Danio rerio: one gene and its partners. The protein of the gene in region 2 binds, or shares a complex with, the protein of the main gene of each other region. Links are inferred from orthologs where the notes say so. Each region holds a gene or a part of one and is shown on either strand. Other genes may lie near its edges. The genes, in order: cdk2ap2, chd5, mta2, mta3, mta1 and cdk2ap1.

The links.
Region 1: chd5 (region 2) and cdk2ap2 share a complex: the UniProt entries of both Homo sapiens proteins name them as parts of the nucleosome remodeling and deacetylase (NuRD) repressor complex. The link is inferred for Danio rerio from reciprocal best matches to the Homo sapiens genes CHD5 and CDK2AP2.
Region 3: chd5 (region 2) and mta2 share a complex: the UniProt entries of both Homo sapiens proteins name them as parts of the nucleosome remodeling and deacetylase (NuRD) repressor complex. The link is inferred for Danio rerio from reciprocal best matches to the Homo sapiens genes CHD5 and MTA2.
Region 4: chd5 (region 2) and mta3 share a complex: the UniProt entries of both Homo sapiens proteins name them as parts of the nucleosome remodeling and deacetylase (NuRD) repressor complex. The link is inferred for Danio rerio from reciprocal best matches to the Homo sapiens genes CHD5 and MTA3.
Region 5: chd5 (region 2) and mta1 share a complex: the UniProt entries of both Homo sapiens proteins name them as parts of the nucleosome remodeling and deacetylase (NuRD) repressor complex. The link is inferred for Danio rerio from reciprocal best matches to the Homo sapiens genes CHD5 and MTA1.
Region 6: chd5 (region 2) and cdk2ap1 share a complex: the UniProt entries of both Homo sapiens proteins name them as parts of the nucleosome remodeling and deacetylase (NuRD) repressor complex. The link is inferred for Danio rerio from reciprocal best matches to the Homo sapiens genes CHD5 and CDK2AP1.

The regions. Positions count from the first base shown.
Region 1 is NC_133176.1:43,113,650-43,117,640, forward strand, and holds the start of cdk2ap2 (cyclin-dependent kinase 2-associated protein 2), read right to left. Parts: upstream 2,801-3,991; 5' UTR 2,593-2,800; intron 2,321-2,592; 5' UTR 2,216-2,320; coding exon 2,161-2,215; intron 1,727-2,160; coding exon 1,635-1,726; intron 1-1,634. UniProt on the Homo sapiens protein: Acts as a component of the histone deacetylase NuRD complex which participates in the remodeling of chromatin.
Region 2 is NC_133186.1:31,704,378-31,707,877, forward strand, and holds part of chd5 (chromodomain-helicase-DNA-binding protein 5), read right to left. Parts: intron 1,441-3,500; coding exon 1,249-1,440; intron 1,167-1,248; coding exon 1,048-1,166; intron 1-1,047. UniProt on the Homo sapiens protein: ATP-dependent chromatin-remodeling factor that binds DNA through histones and regulates gene transcription. May specifically recognize and bind trimethylated 'Lys-27' (H3K27me3) and non-methylated 'Lys-4' of histone H3.
Region 3 is NC_133182.1:17,905,426-17,908,925, reverse strand, and holds part of mta2 (metastasis-associated protein MTA2), read right to left. Parts: intron 2,128-3,500; coding exon 2,027-2,127; intron 1,920-2,026; coding exon 1,780-1,919; intron 1,696-1,779; coding exon 1,467-1,695; intron 1,376-1,466; coding exon 1,286-1,375; intron 478-1,285; coding exon 359-477; intron 272-358; coding exon 129-271; coding exon of another isoform or gene 115-128; intron 1-114. UniProt on the Homo sapiens protein: May function as a transcriptional coregulator. Acts as a component of the histone deacetylase NuRD complex which participates in the remodeling of chromatin.
Region 4 is NC_133187.1:27,050,415-27,053,914, forward strand, and holds part of mta3 (metastasis-associated protein MTA3), read left to right. Parts: intron 1-2,535; coding exon 2,536-2,628; intron 2,629-2,703; coding exon 2,704-2,886; intron 2,887-2,966; coding exon 2,967-2,998; intron 2,999-3,500. UniProt on the Homo sapiens protein: Acts as a component of the histone deacetylase NuRD complex which participates in the remodeling of chromatin.
Region 5 is NC_133192.1:39,468,717-39,472,216, forward strand, and holds part of mta1 (metastasis-associated protein MTA1), read left to right. Parts: intron 1-1,617; coding exon 1,618-1,769; intron 1,770-2,067; coding exon 2,068-2,257; intron 2,258-3,500. UniProt on the Homo sapiens protein: Transcriptional coregulator which can act as both a transcriptional corepressor and coactivator. Acts as a component of the histone deacetylase NuRD complex which participates in the remodeling of chromatin.
Region 6 is NC_133185.1:50,699,559-50,703,721, reverse strand, and holds the start of cdk2ap1 (cyclin-dependent kinase 2-associated protein 1), read right to left. Parts: upstream 2,801-4,163; 5' UTR 2,124-2,800; intron 1-2,123. Other genes in the region: sbno1 (protein strawberry notch homolog 1), read right to left, coding at 2,838-2,980. UniProt on the Homo sapiens protein: Inhibitor of cyclin-dependent kinase CDK2. Also acts as a component of the histone deacetylase NuRD complex which participates in the remodeling of chromatin.

The DNA of each region.
Region 1 (3,991 bases), on a different chromosome or scaffold from region 2:
TCAGGTCACACTGATGACTGAAATAACGATAATGAAAATTCTGCTTTGCCTCTAAAGAAATAAATGACATTTTGGAATTAGGACTTCCAAGCAATCAAGCAATTGCTGATAAGAGAAGAGTGCGACATAGCAGAAAAACAGTGGAGCTTTTATTATGCCACAGTCAACCTCTTCCTTTTTTCCCCCAAATTGTGATCATGTGAAGCAGCACAGCAGTTTTATCATACTAAATAAATTTTAGGCTTCTGTTATACTGCTGCTCTGATTAGTCTAATAAAATATGCGACATAAAACAAGGACCGTCATTTTCAGTTTTCTATAAAAGCAAAACATAAATCAAGGGTATATGTACAGTGGCCGAGAGAGCTCAATGTGCTGCAATTTAAGTAAACACGCGCAATTACAAAACTCGCAAGCAAATTTAGTAAAGATCCTTATCCATTTGACAGCTGTGCTGCGAATTCTCCCAACGCAAACATAAAAAAAAATAAATAAATAAAAAACGCACTGCTTTTTTAACACAAAAAAAATAATAAAACAGCTGCATTCTCACAACGCAAACAGTTTAAGAAAACGCACTGCATTTTTTACAACCCAAACAATTTACGAAAACGCACTGAATTCTCAAAACGTAAACAATTTACGAAAATGCACTGCATTGACACACTCAAACAATTTACAAAAACGCACTGCATTTTGTCACTCAGTTTACGAAAATGCACTGCATTTTCTCACAATGCAAACAATTTACGAAAATGCACTGCATTTTGTCACACACAATTTAAATAACGCACTGCATTTTGTCATACTCGTTTTCAAAAATGCACTGCATTTTTTACAATAAAACAATTTATACGAAAACGCACTGCATTTTGTCACACTCAAACAATTTACGAAAACGCACTGATTTTGCTCACAACACAAAAAACTTGACTCAACGAAAATGTTTCAAGGTGACCCAAAAACTGTGTCGTAAAAGGTTTGCGTTGTGTGAAAATGCAGCGTATTTTATTATTTGTTTGCGTTGTGCGAAAATGCAGCACGTGTGCTGTCAAACCGATGAAGATCTTTTCTCAATTTGCTGCCGTTTTTTGTAATAGCTATTTTTTTGTTTTTTGTAGTTTCTTAAATTGCAGCACGTTCAGCTCTCTTTGCCACCAAATGTATGACATAATTAGCATGGCAACACTGGACACGGTTGTGTCAAGTTAAAACTGCTCACTTCTCTCAATTTCTACTTAACATTTGAGATAAAGCAAGTACACAAGTTAGCAAAAAAACACTTTTACTGGGTTTTGGATATTTTAATTACAAGAACACTTACATTTAATCTTAACATAATATGAAACCAAAACATACACTGCCTCATTTATGCCCCAATGCCTATATAAATGTGTTAATTGTTCATAAAATTGTATTATAAAAATGTTAAACACAACATTACAGCAATTATATTATATTCATTAAATAATGCAGCCACAGTGAGCCAAGGAGGCTTTTCCAAAAACATCTGAAAAACGTAGTTCAAAATTTTGACTGGTCGTGTCAAAAAGAACAGAAATGTACAGGTTTGAAATTAATCATTGTTCCAATACAGCAAATTGCAAAAAAACCCCAATGTCATCAAAACATGCCTGTACAAAGCCCATCGATGGAGGACCGAAGTCACTAAATGCTGGTCTAAAGTTTGAAGAGGAGGCCAGTGATGGAGAAGAGCCACAAGATCCTGAAACCAGAGAACAAGATAAAGACCAATCACAAATCAAGGAAATGTCAAAAGGCCAAATTCGACCAATGAAACGTTGCCACCCAGTGTGTTTGTGTGTGTAAGGAAGTGAGGAGAAACAGAGGCAAGACTGGGACACACAGATGTGATGGCACAACACTAACACTGGGGAAACAGTTATGGTTTTAAAAATAAACGCTGCAGGGCGCGGTTAGCAGCACGTTAAACCACATTTATGTAATGAGCAAGACAGATGGCCATGGCTCCTTTAACTCCTCCCCCTTTTATCCGTGCCTCTGACCTCTTTTACTGTAGGTTCACTGACCCTTTCCTTGGGATTAAAACGGGGCGTTTAAAAAGATGATAGGCGTAAAATACCTCAAAATGAAAGAAGCACGTAAAAATGAATGAACAGAGAGCACAATGAAACTCACCTGGAGGAGTGTGGTTGGAGCCGGTGGGTGCGGGGGCGATCGGCTTGTAACTCATATTTACACCGCCGTCGACTGTAACCTCGCGTGATGAAAACTTTCTGCTTATCCCCCGAATGTAATCTCGTTGGGCTTTGGCGTCCGAAGCAGGAACGGCGTTGACCTAATGCGAACACAAAGAGCAGATGTATAGATATGCATAGTGAGGTGAGACAAGATAAAGGCTAGCGGACAGCAATGACGGTCCCCTCTCAACTTAACCGGCTCGAAAACCGCGACTTGTCCATTTAAATCGCCCGCATTTGACAGACTTTTCACTATTTTGTGAAAATGTACACCACGTGCAGCGTTCATAGAGTTGTAAACATATAGTTTGTGGTTTAAAGACGGCAGGATGCCTGTGGTGATTTATGAAAGGTACATTTAACAACCCACCTCTTCCGCAAACTCGCTCGACAGCGACACGCGCTAAATATCCAACAAGCCGACAAATGAAACCGACAACAACAACCGGGAACACTTCACGACTCGCTGAACGGTTAAATGTGGTTTCTGTTCGCCGGTTTGTAGTTGTTCGGGGAGGTAAATATGAATATTAACGCACGGGAATAGTTTCTGTGCGCGGAGGTGTCGGTTCTTCTCCTCTCTTCCTGCGCGTGCTAGCCTGCTATGTTATTTTCCCATGATACTCGGCAAAAAGAGTGACTGCGTCATCAGGCACGCGCCTCTGCCGCCTCTCTCTCCCCTTCTCCCTCTCTTTTCCACAATGAAGATTTCATTCTGGATTTTTCTTGTTTGTAGAAAGTGGAAAACAGTGAGTTGGTAATATAAGCGTGTGGAATGTTGATAGTCGAAGGCGTTTATTATTATTATTATGATTATGATTATTAGATAATATTATTTTGTAATTGATGAAATAGAGCCAGCTAGAGCAAACTATGCATTATTGTATGCCTGTTTGGAAGTCTTTAATGCCAAAGTGATACATTAAACACACATTTTGCAGTCTACAATTTTTTTTATTATTTATTTTGTAAATGCGTATTTTTTATATATATTGCATTTTATCATGTATGGCCAATATAACTGTAGTACTTCACAATCATGTGAAGGTCTCTCCACACCACCACCACACCAGGGTTGTCACTAGATCGCACACGGCTTTGGCAGAAGCTAGCGAGAATGATTTATATTATTTATTTTTACATTTCCCATTGTATTTTGTTATTGTCTACCCGCACCCCAATCCTACACCCAATCTTACTGACCCAACAGTACAAAAATGTACTGTTGAAAAATATTAATTTATTAAAAACATTAATTATTGTTATAGAATCACAAAAAAATGCTGCTATATTTATGTGCATATCTCACTTCCGGCCGGCCACGTACCTAGACTGTACGCCACAACAGACACAGGACTACAGCGTCACTGGGCTCACCACACCCCAGCTATTGGTGGAGTGGCGAGACAGTGATAGACCCAATTCGGTGGATGGGGATGATTGGGAGGCCATGATGGGTAAGGGCTAATTGAGAGAATTTTGGCGATTACCCTGGGATTAAACCCCTACTCTTTTATGAAAAGTTTCATTAACCAAAGAGAGTCAGGACCTCAGTTTAACATCTGAAAGACGGCACTCACTGACAGTTGTGTCTTAGAGCTGTAATTGGGCCATAAAAATTAGGCTCGACAGGGCCCAAGCCCAACAGAATTCGGCGTGAGCCCGACAGGGACATTTTGATTGACAGCTTTTTAAAAGGCCAAACCCGTTTACAGCCTGACATTATTCAAATGTGCACAGGCACACAGCTCGTTTGCCTTTTTTTCAAG
Region 2 (3,500 bases):
CTTTTCAAAGGGCATCCAGCAAACTCCACACAGAAACGGTTTAGCTCACCCAATTAACCTGTACCACATATTTTTGGACTTGTGGGGGAAACCGGAGCACCCAAAGGAAACCCACGCCAACACAGGGAGAACATGCAAACTCCACACAGAAATGGCAACTGACTCAGCCGAAGCTCGAACCAGCGACCTTTTTGCTGTGAGGCGAACGTGCTTCTCACTGTGCGACCGTGCAGCCCCAATAATATATTTACGAACAATCAAAATGAAGTGAATAAATTACCTCTGTCATTCTTAAATATACCTATGAGTGTACTTGGATGTTTCTGAACATCGTTGTTTTAAATAATTAAAATACAGAGAAAGCTTAAGATTGAGATGAGAAATTGATGAAGAAATCTTCAAGAACTTCCAATCAAACACAGTTTATTTTGGTATTTTAGTTTATTTTAATTACATTTATAATAATGTATTTTAACAATAATAGATTATGTAATTATTTTTTCTGTAAAATGCTGTATTATGTTATATATATTAATATTATTAATGGTGTTCATGTTCCTATTTGTTATGAATTGACAGTATGTATCAGGTATTTCCATTTAAGTAGTAGTAGCTAAAGTGAACTAATTCTGACCGATTTTGTCTTTCATTTAAAAATGAACATTATCGATCTTGAAAAAAGCACTAAAATCAATCAGTATTGGCGTTAATATCAGTATAGTTCAAATTGTAAAGAAAAGAATCTGTTTCATGTCAGATTTTATTTATTATATCATCCATCACTACTCAAAGAGGCCTGTGCAATGAAATCGCCAGCTTATACTAACAGAGTGTCTATGAAATAAAAGATTATCCTGGTTCCAGTAGACAAGTGGGTCTGACAGTACATCGTGTTTCAATGCCTCTTATTAGAAAACCTGTCATCATAATGTCATTACTTCATACTGGCATTAGCATTTGCCAGAAGGAACATTTTAAAATAGAACAAGACATGTTGACAGCAGGGCATTAGAACGTCCACGCAGAAGGAAAACTTTGAAATCCTACCTAAGAAACTGGCTGAAGGCTTTGTAGTTGGTGATAGTCTTATAATCGTCCTCCGAGAAGGCATACTGGACATCTTCGAGACCCCACTCTTGCATTAGCTGACTGGACGACTTTGGTTCCTGTTATCACATGAAAAAAACTAGCATTCATTTATTTTCATGATTAGTGATAAAACAGAACTGAGCATTTCTACAGGAGAACCTTCATGTTTCCATCATCGTCATCGTCCTCATCCTCATCATCCTCTTTCTTTCGCTGTTTCATTTTCCTCTCTTTCTTCTCTCTGGGCTTCTTCTTTTTCTTCTTCAGGGCGCTGTAGGTGCTGCTCTCGCTCCCCGACCTGTGGCCATGATCCTCTCTGTCTGACATGTCATCCAGCCCGCTGGGAAGCCCCTGTGAATACCAGTAAAGACATTAAAGAAGAGGAGATTGACCACTTGTATAAAAATAAATTCAATTCAATTTAAGTTCAATTTAAGGGACAGATTCAATTGCATTACAATCAAAATCTGAAAGTTAAGGAGTTGTGTATAGGGCGGACATTATATAGAAACATAGTAAACATGTAGTTACAGTGGGTAACCGTTGATTTGAAATTTTCCCTGAATGACAGCAACAACCAAAGAATCCATATTTGAAAAGAAAACAATAAGTTTACAAATTAAGTTTAAGTATTTAATTTGAACTTTTCTGTGGCTGCAGAAAAGAAAGGCCAGGAAAGCTGGAATAAAAAGCTACTACTTGCATTCCTGTCTCCACATACGCCACATGTCATCGTCTCAAACCATGTCTCATTGCAATTTGTAACTTTTTGTGTTTTGGTGAATAACAATGTAAAAATGACAACAAACGCTTTTATGTTACTTTAACTTATTTAAGTAAGTTATTCAGGTTTCAACTAATTATTTTAGCTACACAAGGTTTAACTTAACATTTTTAGCCAGTTTTACTAGTGCAAGTTAGGGTAACTAAGCAATTTAAGGAAGTAAGAATTTTTAGTGACTAAATTTTTTAGTGACCAAAGCCTCATTCTCACTACGAGCGACTAGCAGTGGCAAAGCGATAAGTGTCAGCTTATTTCAACAGAGAGTGAGCGACTTCCGCCGACCTTTGTCTATGCGAGCGACAGAAATCCTTGGCGACCAGGTGGGCATGTCGAGTGATGCAATAAAGTCCTTTAACTTTATGCAAATAAAGATCGACTTTCTTGTGTGACAGCAAATAGAAGCATCAGTGGAGCTCACGTGATCCTCTCTCAGCTCAGAGTCCAGTTGTAATCATCGTGCTGTAGACCTACACAGACCTGCATTTGCAGCAGGTCGCCACCCAGAGTGACAGGCAGCTACAAGGTCGCTGCTAGTGTCAATATGGCAAAAATTGCATAAATTCGCAAAATCTCAGTTGAAACTAACTAATATCCAAAAAGTTCATGTGAATTATGGCATAAAAACTGGACAATGAGCCCAACTACTAAAAATGTTGATGACAATCACTTTATTAAACAACACAATTTTTACCATCTAAAGCAGGGGGGCATCAATCTCAGTCTTGGAGGGCCGGTGTCCCTGCAGGGTTTAGCTCCAACTTGCTTCAACACATCTGCCTGGGTGTTTCAAGTAATCAATAGTAACACCTTGATTACCTTGTTCAGGTGTGTTTGATTAGGGTTGGAGCTAAAATCTGCAGGGCACTGCCCCTCCAGGAACAAGTTTGGTGACCACTGATCGAAAGCATTACTAAATGAAAAATAACAAAACAAAATATAGCAAACTGTTAATTAGCCATTTTTTATTGTGCACTAAATTGCCAAAAAAGAATCCTTTGTAAGGATCTTTTGTGCAAACATGAGCTACTGAAAATTCCTTCTTAAAACATTTTTCAGGAAAAAGTACAATTTATGATACCCTTGCTGTCAAATACTAAAGCCGATTTAAACTCACTGTAATGCAGTCTTTTTAGATTTAGTTTGCTTTGTAAATTTTTTCATTAAAGCCAGTACGCCACTGGCAGTCAAACTAAAACTAATCGCAAAATAGATTTTTATACATAGGAACATTAAAACAGAGGCCCTTATAATTTGTAATCACCTCACATCCATAGATTTTAATTTAAGCCATACATTTTCTATGGCATAACTACTGATTGTGGTCCAATTTCTTATCGGACATTTTAAACAATGTACTCCTATCAAAAAGTGCTAGGTTTATTGGAAAAAAAGTATTGTAAAAAAGGTTATGTACTTATAATATTAAAGTTGTATTGCTATTTAAGTGGGGAATTTAGTGAGATGGTTAAGTTTAAGATTAACAATGTAACTCATTTTTATTAAAACATTTTTAATAAAAACAAATGTAAATACATGCATTTACATAATGATCATTGGGTATCACTTTGTTTTAAGGTGCCCTTACTACATGTTTCATGTACTAACTCTAATAATTACAAATAAATAT
Region 3 (3,500 bases), on a different chromosome or scaffold from region 2:
TTGGAAAACAATAGGAAAGTAGCACGTTGCAAAGGAAAAACGCATTTTGTGTGAACGTCCCATAACAGCATCAGAATACATAAACTGAATGAAAGTAATCAAATGTGAACACACCCTGAAACGCATACCTGGTGTCTTTCGTAGCCACAAACACCACAGGATTGGGAGCATCGCCTTGACTGACTTTCTGCCTCTTGATGACGGACTGGTTGGCTGCTCTCATTCCCATTGCAAACGGTCTTCCGTTGGTGGAGAGCAAATGACCTCCAGCCTGTGGCCAATGAGGGTGCTTAGATCAATGTACGCTACTTTTTCTACCTCTGGGAAAGGCTAATGTACATTAGTAAGGGATACTCACATTGTCGAAGGGCCTTTTGCCCAGCAGGGCAGATGCGCTGCGAGGCTGGTTAACCTGGTTACGGTTGATCGGGGTTGGAGCACCTCGAGGGGCTTTGAGTTTCAAAGGAGCTTGAATGGCTAAAAAAGTAATAAATAAAACGAGTACATATTACTCTGAATACTCTGAATAAAATTGTGTAAAATAATAAATAAGAGTCAAATGATCAGTCTTGAGCCATACTTATTCACTTTTGAGTAGTTTTTTCCCCACCACGAAGCCAAGAGTATACTTTGCAGTTATTTAGGTGTGTGTTTACATTTACAGTTGCAACTCACTACATTCGCATCAGTGTTAATTTAATCAAAAGAAGTGGCTTGACAAACAAAAACAATCCCTCAGATTATACTAAAAATGAATATTGGTTAGTTTTTTTTTAGGACAAGTGTCATTGAACAGTAAGAAATCTCCACTGTGCTGAGCGAGAGCGCTTCTCTACTGAACAGCGCATCAGCGATGACGTAAGCGTGCCAGGGCTCGAATGTAAGGCGAGTGCGGGCCGCCAGGGGAGATGGGAATGGCGATAAGCGTGCTTTGGCCCAGTTCAAGGCAACTGTACATAGTTTGAGTACGCCCTTAATACCTTCACACCTTTGAATGCTGTATCCAAAGGCAGCATTTTAGAGCTTTTGGACACAGCCTTTAAATAAGATCTGTAATAATTCTTCTTGTTTTGATTCATCTCATCTATTTCAAAATGTCAAGCGAGTGGTCTGCTTCAGTGTTGAGACCAAGTAGACAAAGTATATGCATACCTGCTGCCAATGCACATTGTGTGTAGACACTTGCATATACATAAAAACTGACTGTACACTTTAGGCTTTAAAAGTCAGCTAATTTGATAAGATGTAAGCATGTCTCTATTATGAAATAATGCTGAAGCCATACCCAAATCTTTAACTATATTGATGAGGGATGGTCGAGGAATAGGCCGGTTTTTCACACCACTCTTTGCTGCTTTGGGAAGTCTTATCATACCTAAAAGAAAAGAAAGAGGCAGTCAGACACATCTTCATTCAACTGTATAAAACAGCATTTTTTTATTTATATATTGCATAAAAAGACTCACACTCAGCTTTGACAGCATTGGCGTTAATGGAAGCGTACGGGCGACGGGCTGCTCGACGAGACTGCAGGATGTCCTGGCACACACGACGGGCAATTCGAGTGAGTTTGGTGGTCTGCAGGATAAAGGTCTGCCTGTTTTTGGCCAGAAGTTTAGCTCGTCCCGCACTGCTGGTAAACGGGGACATTCCCTGCACCTCCTGACGGGTCATGTGACCACGCGGAGCTGCTTCCTATTGGACAGATATGATGTTCATTTAGCTATATACTCATTTTCTGGCTGTATATATTTTTAAAAGACGTAGGTGTTGACATACTGAGCTGGCTCTTGTGGCGCCCTCTAGTTGAGTTGGAGTCTTCAGACCACCGTATTTCTTCCAGTAAATCCAACAGGACGAACATAGTCGACACTGCATGTTAGGAGGACCCCATGCATACCACTGCTGAGACTGGGCAGCTGCAAGAACAACAGGCCATGATAACACATACAGTATAGTGCATGGGAATTACTCAGCTTGTATCTAAATACTGTTTGTGGATGTTTGCAGTGGCGAGTTGACTCACTGTGGCAGCTTTCACAACTGAGGCCTTTCTGGTAGCCGGTGGCACCGTTCATGCCAGGTTTATTTCCAGGTGCTGTGATCTGGTTGGGGTTGGGTTTGGTGCTGAAGGAGGGATGAACATTTTGATTGGTAAACAGAAGATAGACATGTACAAACCATTTGAGATTTTCAAGAGACCTCACAGCCGAAAGTTAATTGCAAGTATAAAATACACAAAGTAGGGGTGTTTGCATTAATTGATTAACTGTTAACCGAAGGAATGCATATTTTATCAATTAATGTATCAGTTAAATGGTTTAAAATATTCTTTTTTTTTAATTAGTATTTTTTAAGTTTTGCTGCATAAATGTACAACATGTATTTGTTAACCCGCCGGGCGGTAACAAGTGCAACTATAGACGTATTGTGCTAAATAAGCAAAATGAAAGGAGTGAAAATAAAGACATTGATGGTCACAGTTTGAAACAGACAAGTTGATGCCAAACCAGTGCTGATAACCCTTTTCCAGGATCTGCATTATAAACACCTCAGTGTCTTAGCAAAAGTAGAGAAAGAAGCCGCAAACTTTCTGAAATGTCCACTGTTGGCCACAAGTCGGAGCAACCCACAAACCAACATTTTTTTTCATTGGAAAAATTATTTACAGTTCTTATAAAAGATCCATTAAAAAAATAGCCAACATAACTTAATCTACGAATTAGGGTGCTTTCACACCTACACTTTTGTTTCGGAACGTATCTCGTTTGCCCAGTTAGCGCGGTTCGATTGGCATATGTGAACAGGGCAATCGCGCTCTGTTCCGCGCCAAAGTAATCGCTCCGAGATCGCTTGAGTGAGGTGGTCTCGGCTCGATTGAAACGAACCCTGGAGCGGTTCGATTGCAGTGAGAAAGCGATCCGATCCGAGCGCGCTTATATCACAGTGTTTTATGGATATGTAATAGGCTTACGGCTATATGAAGAGAGAATTATGAGTAGGGCGGGAAGTTTCGCGAGTCTCCGGATGCCCGCAAACGAGTGATGATCTCCCGGTAATCTCGCGTCTCTCTCCCAGTCCTCAAATAGGCATCGTCGCGCACCCTTCTCACCCCTCCCCACCGCATCTCTCCTCAGACACGTCACACGCGCGCACCCTGTCAATCACCACCAAACCACCACCTCTCCTGACAGCTGAGCGGGACGCTGCAAAATAAACCCTGACACTCTGACCAATGTGAGGAGAGTTTACTCGCACGTGACTTGTTTTAGCTCTTTTGGTCCGATTAGAAACTTTGCAATGTGAAAGCGAACCGCTCCAAGAGCAAAGAGCAACAATGTAACAATTTTAATCTCTGTTTCGGAACAACTGAATCGATTCACAGGTGTGAAAGCACCCTTAAACAAATCCAATGATTTAGGCTATTTGATTTTTGCATATTAATAGCTATGTAAAATATAAAATGTATATACAAATGAATGCAAACTATGTAATTATAA
Region 4 (3,500 bases), on a different chromosome or scaffold from region 2:
GCTACCGTAAACCACAGTCCACACTTTGTCTCTTTAAAAATATAAAGCAATGAATATGACAACTTGGAGTCTTATGGACTCAATAGTCTGATTTCACATGGCCGCCATTTTTAAAGCAAAATCTAGTTCAAAATCAAAAATCAAAATCAAATCCTGCGGTGGGAAGAAACCTGGAAGTTTCGCCTGGCTGTATATCTTATCTGCGAAAAGAAAGTGAAAAATGTATTATTTCTCCACCTTTCGAGTGACCCAACGGTCCATTCTGAATTGATAGTGAAAATAAAAAAGGGACTTCAGACCTAATTTTCAGCTAAGCTAAGAGAAATGGCTACAGTTTGCTAACGTTATCTTTCCCAAACAAACGTTTTAGATGCCATTTATCAAACTCAAATTAATAAACGATTCTTTCACTATATTAGACTTGTCACGATACTGAATTTCAGGACCAATCGCTACTGAAATAAAAAAAAGTAAATTTCCTGCTAACATTTAAGCGCTCGTTCTTAAACACAGCTGATTTGCCATTGTGTTGACCAGTGCTCAACAGAAATTGCTGTGTTTGGCCTTGAAGGTCATCAGTTCACTTCATCGATGTTTTGCCAAATGCAAACACAAACGAGCAATCTGCTGATGACTCGACTGATCTTCATGGCTTTAAAATGCTCCAGTGTCGGTGTATCTGAGCGTTGAACTGATGACCCTCACGGCCAATCACAGTCATTTCTGTTGAGTACTGGTGAATACAATGGCAAATTAGCAGTGTTTAGGAACGCACTCAACTGCGCTTAAATGTTAGTGGGAAATGGATGTTTTTAAAACTTCAGTACCAGGAAAACACTATAGAGAGTGTGCTATAGAGGATTGGATTGTTTTATCACTCACCTGGTTACACATCCCCACTGTGTTTACCTGGTCTCTAAGGTAAATCATCAGGGGCGATCTTGATTAAAAGAAGACCTTAACTAATCGGTGTTAAAGCTAAACTCTGCAGTGCAATGGTCCTCCAGAAACCAGTTTGGACACCACCAATGCTAATCAATTAAATGCTGAGTTTGATCTCATATACTTTTTAAGTTTTTTTTTCAAATACATCAGACTACATACCCAAAATATGCAACACACTTTCAATCAAACCCAAAGAGGAAGTTACAGACCATGGTAGCCAGGCTTTGCTCAGAGGAGAGCAGTTCCCTCTTGACAGGCACTTGTAAATAGGTCAGTTTTACAGGGAGAGCTCATATCAACAGGGAAAGGGAGCGAGTCACTTGCTCTGCGTTTGTCCAATCAGAAGTTTTCAGCTTCTTTTTTTTTTTTTCTGCATCGTCCCCTCCCATCATGCGAAAACTCCATTCTATGCTTCCATTTCACCTCTGTCTCCACCCCAGACACGTCTGTATGTATCCCCAGCCATAAGAAGTTGTTCTGACATCTGTGTCCTGACGCACGAGGGACCTGGGTTGGGGGCATGCTGTTTGGTTTGTCTCTCTTTTATTTTTCTTTGTTTGAATGTCTTGTGGGCAACCAAAACACAAATAAAACCATGGCTGAAACCATCCTATCTGAGTCCTTGTAGTTTCATGTGTCTCGTGTACCTGTCCATCACTCTGTTGCACGCACTCCGACAGGCCGAGCCGAGCGGCAATCATGTGAAATCTCTGACAGCATGAGCTCCATCGGCTCCTGCCGTGCCTTCATAACTTGTTGACATGCACACACTCATGAGAAAGCTGCCGTGAATGCAACATTGCATTTGTTTTCCTCTTTCCAACCTCATTTAACATGCTGGCTGACCAGGTTATGTTCAACATCTTGCCTGCCCATCAGAGACTATGCATGACAATAATCAGGTTTACAACGTTGAAATGTAACGTGCAAATGAGACAATGAATTATGGGGGTTTAATACAACTCGGAGGTGAAGAATACAGTTTGTTTTACACGTTGAAGTTGGAGAAAACATCGTCTCAGCACTTCCCCAAAGGCACAGGTTTCATTCAATTTAAAGAATGGATTTTGTGTCAGTAGATAATGCATCACCCAATTCAACTCCTTTTTTTCCACATTCGATATAAATTGTTGAAGAGGTAATGAATTGAAGTTATATCGGTACATCTTCAAGACTGTTTCTCTCCAGGTTTGCCAAGACAACAAGAAGAACTGCTTGAAGAGAACAGGTTTAAACAACTTCCGACACCTCTGGACTTTTAATGAATTTTAAGGCAAAGTTGGAGAGATTTTAATGGGTTCAATGTGGTCCGATCAATGTTCTGGAGTTCAGCTGCAAGAAATATGTTCACTAGGGCTGAAAGAATGAACAGTGTAACAAATGAGATTTGACTCTGCCTGCTGCTTCCATGAAAATCGTTGTCCGGTCAGAAAGATTTGTCACCGCAGGGTTGGTGTTACGCTGCAACATCCATCAAGCCAGCCTGTTCAGAATGCCTCATGTTGGTGTCTAAGTGTGAATGTCTCTTTCATGCTCTTTGACTTGCTTCTATCTCCGTTTGTCTGTTCTGTACTGCTGGTTGATAAATAGATATGATCCGGGTGTCCGAGGGCATGACAGGGAGACCTTTGAAGCCCAAATCTGCTCCAAGGAGCACCCTGACCAGCGTCTTGCAGTATCTTGGTGAGCGACAAGAGATCTGATTTGTCTCCACTGAGTTGTACCTCTCAGATCACAGTGAATCTTCTGTCATTTCAGAGTCCCGTCCAGCAACTCATGTTCAACGGCCTCATCGCACCCCTGGCCTACAGGTGCAGCCTCCACGACGCCTGCTTTCTTCTCTTCCAAGTCATGGCCCGCTTGGAATGTTGGGAAAACGAAGCTACCATCACCACAGCAGGGTTGAATCTGCAGAAAGGAGGGCTGGTGCTACAGGACAAGGTGGGTTTACTGTTAAAATGGAAACTAAAATGGAAAGAAAATGTGTAGATTTCTTACTACATACCTCTTTTTTGTCGTAGAAAATCCAGCTCATATTGTGGGGCCCATTCTGGTAAGTATCAGACTTTATTTATTGGTAACATTGGGATTGACTGAAGCCAGTTTCTGGAATTTGCTGGTGCTTTTTATTTCTCTTAAAATTGAAAGGTTACATATTAGATAACATCTTACTGGCTTTTGTGTTGTAACCAGGCAACAAGGCCACAGAATGATCGTTTGTGGGAACATCATAGCATGTTGAGGACATGACATGGTAGCTCGTGACCACAAGATCTTAGAGTAGGAACATATTCACATCCAGAGCAATCAGAACAGGCAGGAAATTGCCAGGGCCCCTTATTTTGAGGGTGCCCCCTTGGGATTAGCATTGTGCCTAGAGGGGTAATAAATGGTAATTCTACTCAGGGGGACCCACCCTGGAATGTGATCATACTGTACCAAGAGGGAAGGAATATTTGTATCGTAGGGGAACCACCCTTGTCCAGAAGTCATGGCCTTAAGTTGTTAAAGAAACATGGGTTTTGCAACTGTGGAGGAAACAGGGATAGAGTGCT
Region 5 (3,500 bases), on a different chromosome or scaffold from region 2:
GAATAAACATGCATAAATGCATACTGTATGTACACTAAAAAAAGTTGACAAAAAGACAACAAATATCTTAATGTTACCTTTTTTTTAGAAAACTAGTCAGTTTTCAACTTAAAACCCACAAAGTTTAACTTAAGATTTTTAGTCAGTTTAATTGATTTAGGTTGAGATGACTAGAAAAGTTCATTTGATTCAACTAAAAAAAATAAAGGCAGCAAGATTTGTTTTCGAAGTGGACAGTTTAAAGACTTGGTCCTCTATTTTGACGATCCATGCGCAAAGTCCAAAGCGCAGGGCGCAAAAGCATTGAGGACGTGTCAAAATCCACTTTTGCTATTTTAAGGATGGAAAAATTCTCTGCGGTGCATGGTCTAACAGAGTTGAACTTATTCTCTTAATGAGTTATGGGTGTGTTTTGAGAATAAACCAATTAGAGTGTCTTCTCCCATTTCCTTTAAGATTCAGTTGCGTTGCACCATGACGAGAAAACAGTTAAACAGCTCTTCTGCCATGTGAGAATGAGAGAATGAGCCTCCTCATTCTTTACCTTCGCTAAGAAAACATGTTGCACGCACAGACATCCATTAGCCTATTCATAATTAATTTAGTTTGTTAAGCTCAAAGATTTGTTTCAACACTACTTCTAAATTTGGTTCTAATTTCCAGCAAAGAAATAAATGACCAATAATAACGAAGTGTGGTCAATAAACGAGTTATATCCTAATACACATGCTATGCCCCATATGGTCTAAAACCTTTTTTAGACTAGAACGCCTATGGTCGCACATAAGAGCGCAAACGCAATTGCTATTTAAACAGCGTGGGGCAAAACGTTGAAGCTGAAACTAGCAAACAACAATTGCGCCGCTTTTGGTCCATTGTGCGACCCTTATGTTTTCAGTTACAGGCCATCTTAAAAATTAACCTAAGCACTGATTGTTTCGGTTAATTTAAAATTAAGACTAAGTTTATGTTTTTTAGTTCTGTTTACTTTAAATAGATAGTTCACCCAAAAGTGAATAGTTACTTATTACTTATTTACTCATTCTCAAGTGGTTTAGTTTTTGGTTGCTCTATACACAATTCACAATTCTGCCCTGGCCTATGTCAGTGAACTTATTAGGCCTTATTCAGCTTGTAGACCATTAAGATCCCATGACCAGTTTCTTCTGTCTGTCCCTCGGTCTCGCTGCAAATCAAAAGGTGATCGAGCTTTCTGTGTTGCGACCCCAAGGCTCTGGAACAGTCTCCTTCTAAACATCAGGATTTCTCCTTCATTGGATGCTTTTAAATCTAAATTAAAGACTTATTTTTACTTTCTTGCCTTTGAGTGACGCATGCATGTTATTTTTTATTTTTATTTTAGTATTACTTTTGAACATATACATTCCCTTGTATTTTTAATAACAGTTTTTTTTTGTTTTATTGTCTAGTTGATTTTGTTGTAGAACACTTTGGATCAACTACGGTTGTGTAAAATTGTGCTCTATAAATAAAGTTTGCCTTGCCTTTCCTACCTTTAATGTTTGCTCAGGTAAAGGTTCACACTACAGCGAGTAGAGCAGAGAGTGATGTAGGAAGGATCTTAATTTGTGTTATTGTTTTTTTTTTTATATTTAGCCACCAGCTCGTATCAGTGGTACTCGTGGGGTCCTCCCAACATGCAGTGCCGACTCTGTGCCTCCTGCTGGACCTACTGGAAAAAGTACGGAGGTCTGAAGATGCCAACCAGACTAGATGGAGAGCGGCCCGGACCCAACCGCAACAACATGGTGGGTGAAAAGTGGATGTTCTCCAAAAAAAATAAAAAACAAGCTGCAGTTCTTGACATGAAATCCTCTTCTTCTCTCTCTGCCCCCAAGTCTGTTTTATTCAGTCTGTTTTCTCTTTTGCTGTGCAATTCTGTTTTATTACACCTCTTTGTGACTGTTAAATGAACGCCCTGAAAGAGCGAATGAGCCAAACTGTCTTTCATCTATGTTTAAAGTGGAGTTCGTTCCTTTAAGATATGCAGTATTTAGATTCTTCTGTCAGCAAGAGCTTGACTTTCATATCTCTGTCTGTGTTCAGAGTCCTCACGGTTTGCCCGTGAGACACAGCGGAAGCCCCAAGTTTGCCGTTAAGACCAGGCAGGCTTTCTACCTGCACACGTCTCAGATGACGAAAGCCGCTCGACGCGTCTGCCAGGACCTGCTGAGATCCAAATACTTGGCCAGACACCCGTACACACCTGTCAACACCATCGCTATCAAAGCTGAGTGTGAGTAGGCACATATTTGAAGATTCAGTTCATTAGATGCAGTTGCTTATTGTGGAAATTATGTGTGAAGTATGAGCTGATGTAAACTGTGTAAAACTAATTATAAAGTACTACTAAAATCTAATTGTTAAGATATATAATATATATATATTAAGGGTGTCACGATCTTCCAAATCCTCGATTCGATTACATTTTTGATTCTAAAGGCACGATTCGATTTTCGATTATGAATCATTAATTAATTAATGACCAATTAATTATTTGTAGCCTACCGTTTAAACTACCTGACCTGCATGGTCTTTGTTTTACCCATAAACAAATCATACAGTAAATGAATAAAGGCAAGATACACACATAATTACCACCTGTCAATCACTTTTTCTGCGGGACTCGTGAAAAGGCAGTGATCTGTGTCGTTATAGTGGCGTCGGTAAAAAAGACGCACAACTAACAGGAACCAGCCAACAGTATCTGAGGTGTGCGCTAAAATGACAAGTGAGTAAAAGATTGAAGCAGTCTACTAATCCTCTGACTGCCTGAACCCGCTGTCTCGGAGCCCATGGCTGTGTGTGTGCGTCTGTGTCTGTGTGTGTGTGTCAGAGGTAGAGAGGAAGGAGGGCTGCTCAGAAATGCTACACGCCATTGTGGATCTCAAATCGTTGTCGTTCTAAAATGCCATTTAAAAACAAAGACAGTGTAAACAGGGCCTGAGTGTGTACTTTTCGTGAGCGAATTTGCAATGGGGGCGGGCGGAGGATCGCGATGCCGGTGTTGTCTATATATATATATATATATAGATTTTAGGAGGTCATAATTGTATTACATTTAGCAATTTGAACTTTATAATTAAAAAAAATATATTTTTATTATTGTTTTGATACATTTTCTGTGAAAATCCCTGTGTTTTTCTATAATTGCTAGCAACATTTAAGGAATTTAAAAGTTTGCTTGAATTAGATTTAATATAAAAATTAGATTTTTATATTCTTTATATTAATTGTCCTGTTTTATTAATATAATTTCATAAAGCTCATGAATGTTTTTTAAATATTAGAATTATTGGAAAAATTAAAAATATATTATTTACTCTTTTGTTTACATTCATTTAATGTAATGTAATGTATTTAAAAACTAAGTTTTATTTGTTGTAATGAGTTTAAGAAGTATTACATTTCATTAAAAATATGAAAAATAAAAGCATATTTGACAGCCTTCATTTCGTTGGGGGAAATCATCTGCTTGT
Region 6 (4,163 bases), on a different chromosome or scaffold from region 2:
CATTTACTCACCCTTTAACTCTCACACCACCTTTATTTCTTCTGCTGAACACCAAATACGATGTTTTGAAGAACGCTGGAAAAGGGTAACCATTGACTTCTACTGTATTTGTTTCACACTATTGAAGTCAATGGTTACAGGCTTGTAACATTTTTAAAGAGACAGTACACTCAAAAATCAATATTTACTCACTTTTGACTCTGACTATTCTGTTTGAAGATGTTAAAAAAAAAAAATGTTGAAAACCGGTAACCATTGACTGCCATAATAGAAAAGCAGACACTATGGTAGTCAATGGTTACAGGTTTCCAGCATTCTTCAAAATATCATCTTCAGTGTTTGACAGAGAAGTGAAGCCTATAACAGTTTAACACACTCTCGGGTGAGTGCATTGTCAGTTATGGATGAACTGTCCCTTTAAAATTCTTCAAATACGCCAGAATTGTTTTTTCACCCTCTAAATATGAAATACGTGATTTATAGACGCATAAACTCCTCCACGTGACGACATCGTGTCTTACAACTTTTTACCTTGCCACAGCCGCATCAGTGTCTGGATGGAAAAGGTTTCAGTAATTTAGGGCGGGGCTAGAAATAATTTAAAGTTGAACTGTCTGTGTTCAAGGAAAAGCTATGAGTAATTTAGGGCGGGGCAATCATTAATTTAGGGTGGAGCTATCAGTAACTTAGGGTGAGGCTATCATTAATTTAGGGCGGAGCAATCATTAATGTAGGGTGGAGCTATCAGTAAATTAGGGTGAGGCTATCATTAATTTAGGGCGGGGCAATCATTAATTTAGGGTGGAGCTATCAGTAACTTAGGGTGAGGCCATCATTAATTTAGGGCGGAGCAATCATTAATTTAGGGACGGAGCTATCAACAATTTAGGGCGGGGCTATCATTAATTTAGAGTGGAGCTATCAGTAATTTAGGGCGGGGCTATTATTAATTTAGGGCAGGGCAATCATCAATTTAGGGTTGAGCTATCAGTAATTTAAGGCGGGACAATCATTAATTTAGGGTGGGGCTATCAGCAATTTAGCGAGGGGCTATCATTCATTTAGGGTGGGGCTATCAGTAATTAATGGTGAGGCAATCAATAATTTAGGGCGGGACAATAATTAATTTAGGGTGGGGCTATTAGTAATTCAGGGTGGAGCTATCAGTGATTTAGGTTGAGGCTATCATTAATTTAGGGCGGAGCAATCATTAATTTAGGGTGGAGCTATCAGTAATTTACGGTGGGCTATCAGTAGTTTAGGGTGGGGCTATCAGTAATTTAGGGAGGGGCTATCAGTAATTTAGGGAGGGGCTATCAGTAATTTAGGGAGGGGCTATCAGTAGTTTAGGGTGGGGCTATCAGTAATTTAGGGAGGGGCTATCAGTAATTTAGGGAGGGGCTATCAGTAGTTTAGGGTGGGGCTATCAGTAATTTAGGGAGGGGCTATCAGTAATTTAGAGAGGGGCTATCAGTAATTTAGGGAGGAGCTATCAGTAATTTAGGGTGGGGCTATCAGTAATTTAGAGAGGGGCTATCAGTAATTTAGGGTGGGGCTATCAGTAATTTAGGGCGGAGCTTTCAGTAATTTAGGGTGGGGCTATCAGTAATTTAGGGCTGAGCTATCAGTAATTTAGGGTGGGGCTATCAGTAATTTAGGGCGGGGCTATCAGTAATTTAGGGAGGGGCTATCAGTAGTTTAGGGTGGGGCTATCAGTAATTTAGGGAGGGGCTATCAGTAATTTAGAGAGGGGCTATCAGTAATTTAGGGAGGGGCTATCAGTAATTTAGGGAGGGGCTATCAGTAATTTAGGGAGGGGCTATCAGTAATTTAGAGAGGGGCTATCAGTAGTTTAGAGAGGGGCTATCAGTAATTTAGGGAGGGGCTATCAGTAATTTAGGGAGGGGCTATCAGTAATTTAGGGTGGGGCTATCAGTAATTTAGGGCAGAGCTTTCAGTAATTTAGGGTGGGGCTATCAGTAATTTAGGGCAGAGCTTTCAGTAATTTAGGGTGGGGCTATCAGTGGTTTTCAGTCTTACAGATGAGACCTAAAACAAAGCTCCTGACTATCTGTGCTCATTAATAACCTCAGGGCACTTCTGGTAAAGAGTAGGGGTGTAACCTCGGTGTCCTGGCCAAACTCCCTCCATCAGCTCCATCCACTGAACTGGCTCCATCACTGTCTCTCCACTCCACCTCTAGCTGGTGTGTGGTGAAGCACTGGCGCTGTTGTCCTGCACACTGGTGGTGTTGTCGTCATGTGTATGAACTGTATAAATGCACATGATTCACTTACTCTCACTTATAACTGCAGATGAACTGCAGAATGTAAAGGTGAGCAGGCGTGCCGTCTCCTCTCCTCCACTGAGCTGAACACAACAGAGGAGCACATCACATGAACCACAGCCGTCAAATCGAGGTAATCCACAAGATTTATTGGTCAAATGCAAGAGGTAGAGGTCTTGCAGTCAGTTATATTCTCTGTACATCAGATCCGTCAGTAGTGCAACTCGTGCAGAGATGAAGGACACGCAGAGCAGAAGAACATCACATGTCAGATATACACGGAGAGAGAAGAGTCCAACATGTACAGCAGACGAGCTCCGGGAGCCGCTCCTCCACACAACAACACAAAAACAAGAACCATTAAAAAGCAAGAGTTGGAGAGGCTCCAGCCGGCCCGCCACACGCTCTCAGACGGCCAGGAGACAGAGCCACGTCCTGAAGCGGAGCTGATCCATGCAGAGCGTCTGTCCGCATGCTGGAGGAGAAGCAGACCCCGGGGGACTGTGGGAAACCCTGAGCGCAGTCGGTCTGTCCTGTGTGTGTGTGTGTGTTACGTGAGAGGTGTGTGTGTGAGGCTCTGCGGGTGCAGCTGCTGCCATAAATGTTGCTGCTGCACCGCCAGCTGCTGACTCTGATCTGATGATGACAGGATGTTGACCAGCGGAGACACACAGTTCTGCGGGATGATCAGACCTGAGGAAAACACACACACACACACACACACACACACACACACACACACACACACACACACACACACACACACACACACACACACACACACACACACACACACACACACACACACACACACACACACACACGGAGGAGGAGTGAGGCTCTGGCTGTGTCCCGAATCACACACTTCTGCACTGTATAGCATGTTAACAGCGTCTCTGCAGATATCATGATGTCAAATTTAAGACCTTTTACGATCTTTTTAAGACCATTAAGTATTAAATTTAAGACCTATATCGCAATATCAAGAACACACGACAGAAAATGTAGAAGCACAAAATTAGGGGTAAAATAAAGTTATTTAGATTGAACAGTAGTAAAGTCAGGTTAAATGCACCAGTGAACTACAGAAAAACAAACATCTAAATGCAGATTTATACTTTCACCTGGCGCCGCACAACTCACAAAACAGATTAAGACTTTTATACTCGACACGTTCACCATTGAGATATATTTTTGACAGGGGGCACTCCAAAACAACAGACAGTAAAATCAGACGAGTAAAAAGATCATCATCATCATCACTGAAGATGTTTTTGAAGGCCTCTTTTTTGTTTTAACAAACTCATCCCTCAGAGTTTTCCCAAAGTTTTACAAAAGCTTTCCTCCTTTCCCATGGCTGTTGCAGTTTCTAGCCAATAATTATTGGTCAATCTGGCAAGCAGAAGTGTAGCTGTGATAGAAAATAGGTAAAGACTTGATTATGTATTATAGCCTACTGTACTGTTCACTCTTCAAATAAATCCCACTATCAGTCCCATTTTATCACTGAAATAAAGTGCACACGTGTCTGCTGTACAGTGTTGTGTGAAGTACAGTAAAGTGCTTCAGTTACTCTGTTGTGGTAATACTACAGTTGCTATGGTAAGTGTATAATAAACTCCCCAGTGCTTAAGTTTTTTACAATATATTGTATATTATTCTACAATTCACCACACTTTACTGTAGTAAAACTGCACTGTATTTCATTTATCAGTTCACTATTCTTAACACTACAGTACGCTGAAGCATCTCTGGAAAAGCACGAGAGGAGTGCGACCGAGCGAGAGCAGATCATTCGCACGTGAGCAGCCGGTGTTTTGAGAGCTCGCGAGCAGTTTTGTCTATGAAGGAAACCGGTGCGTGAGCAGAGATTCGC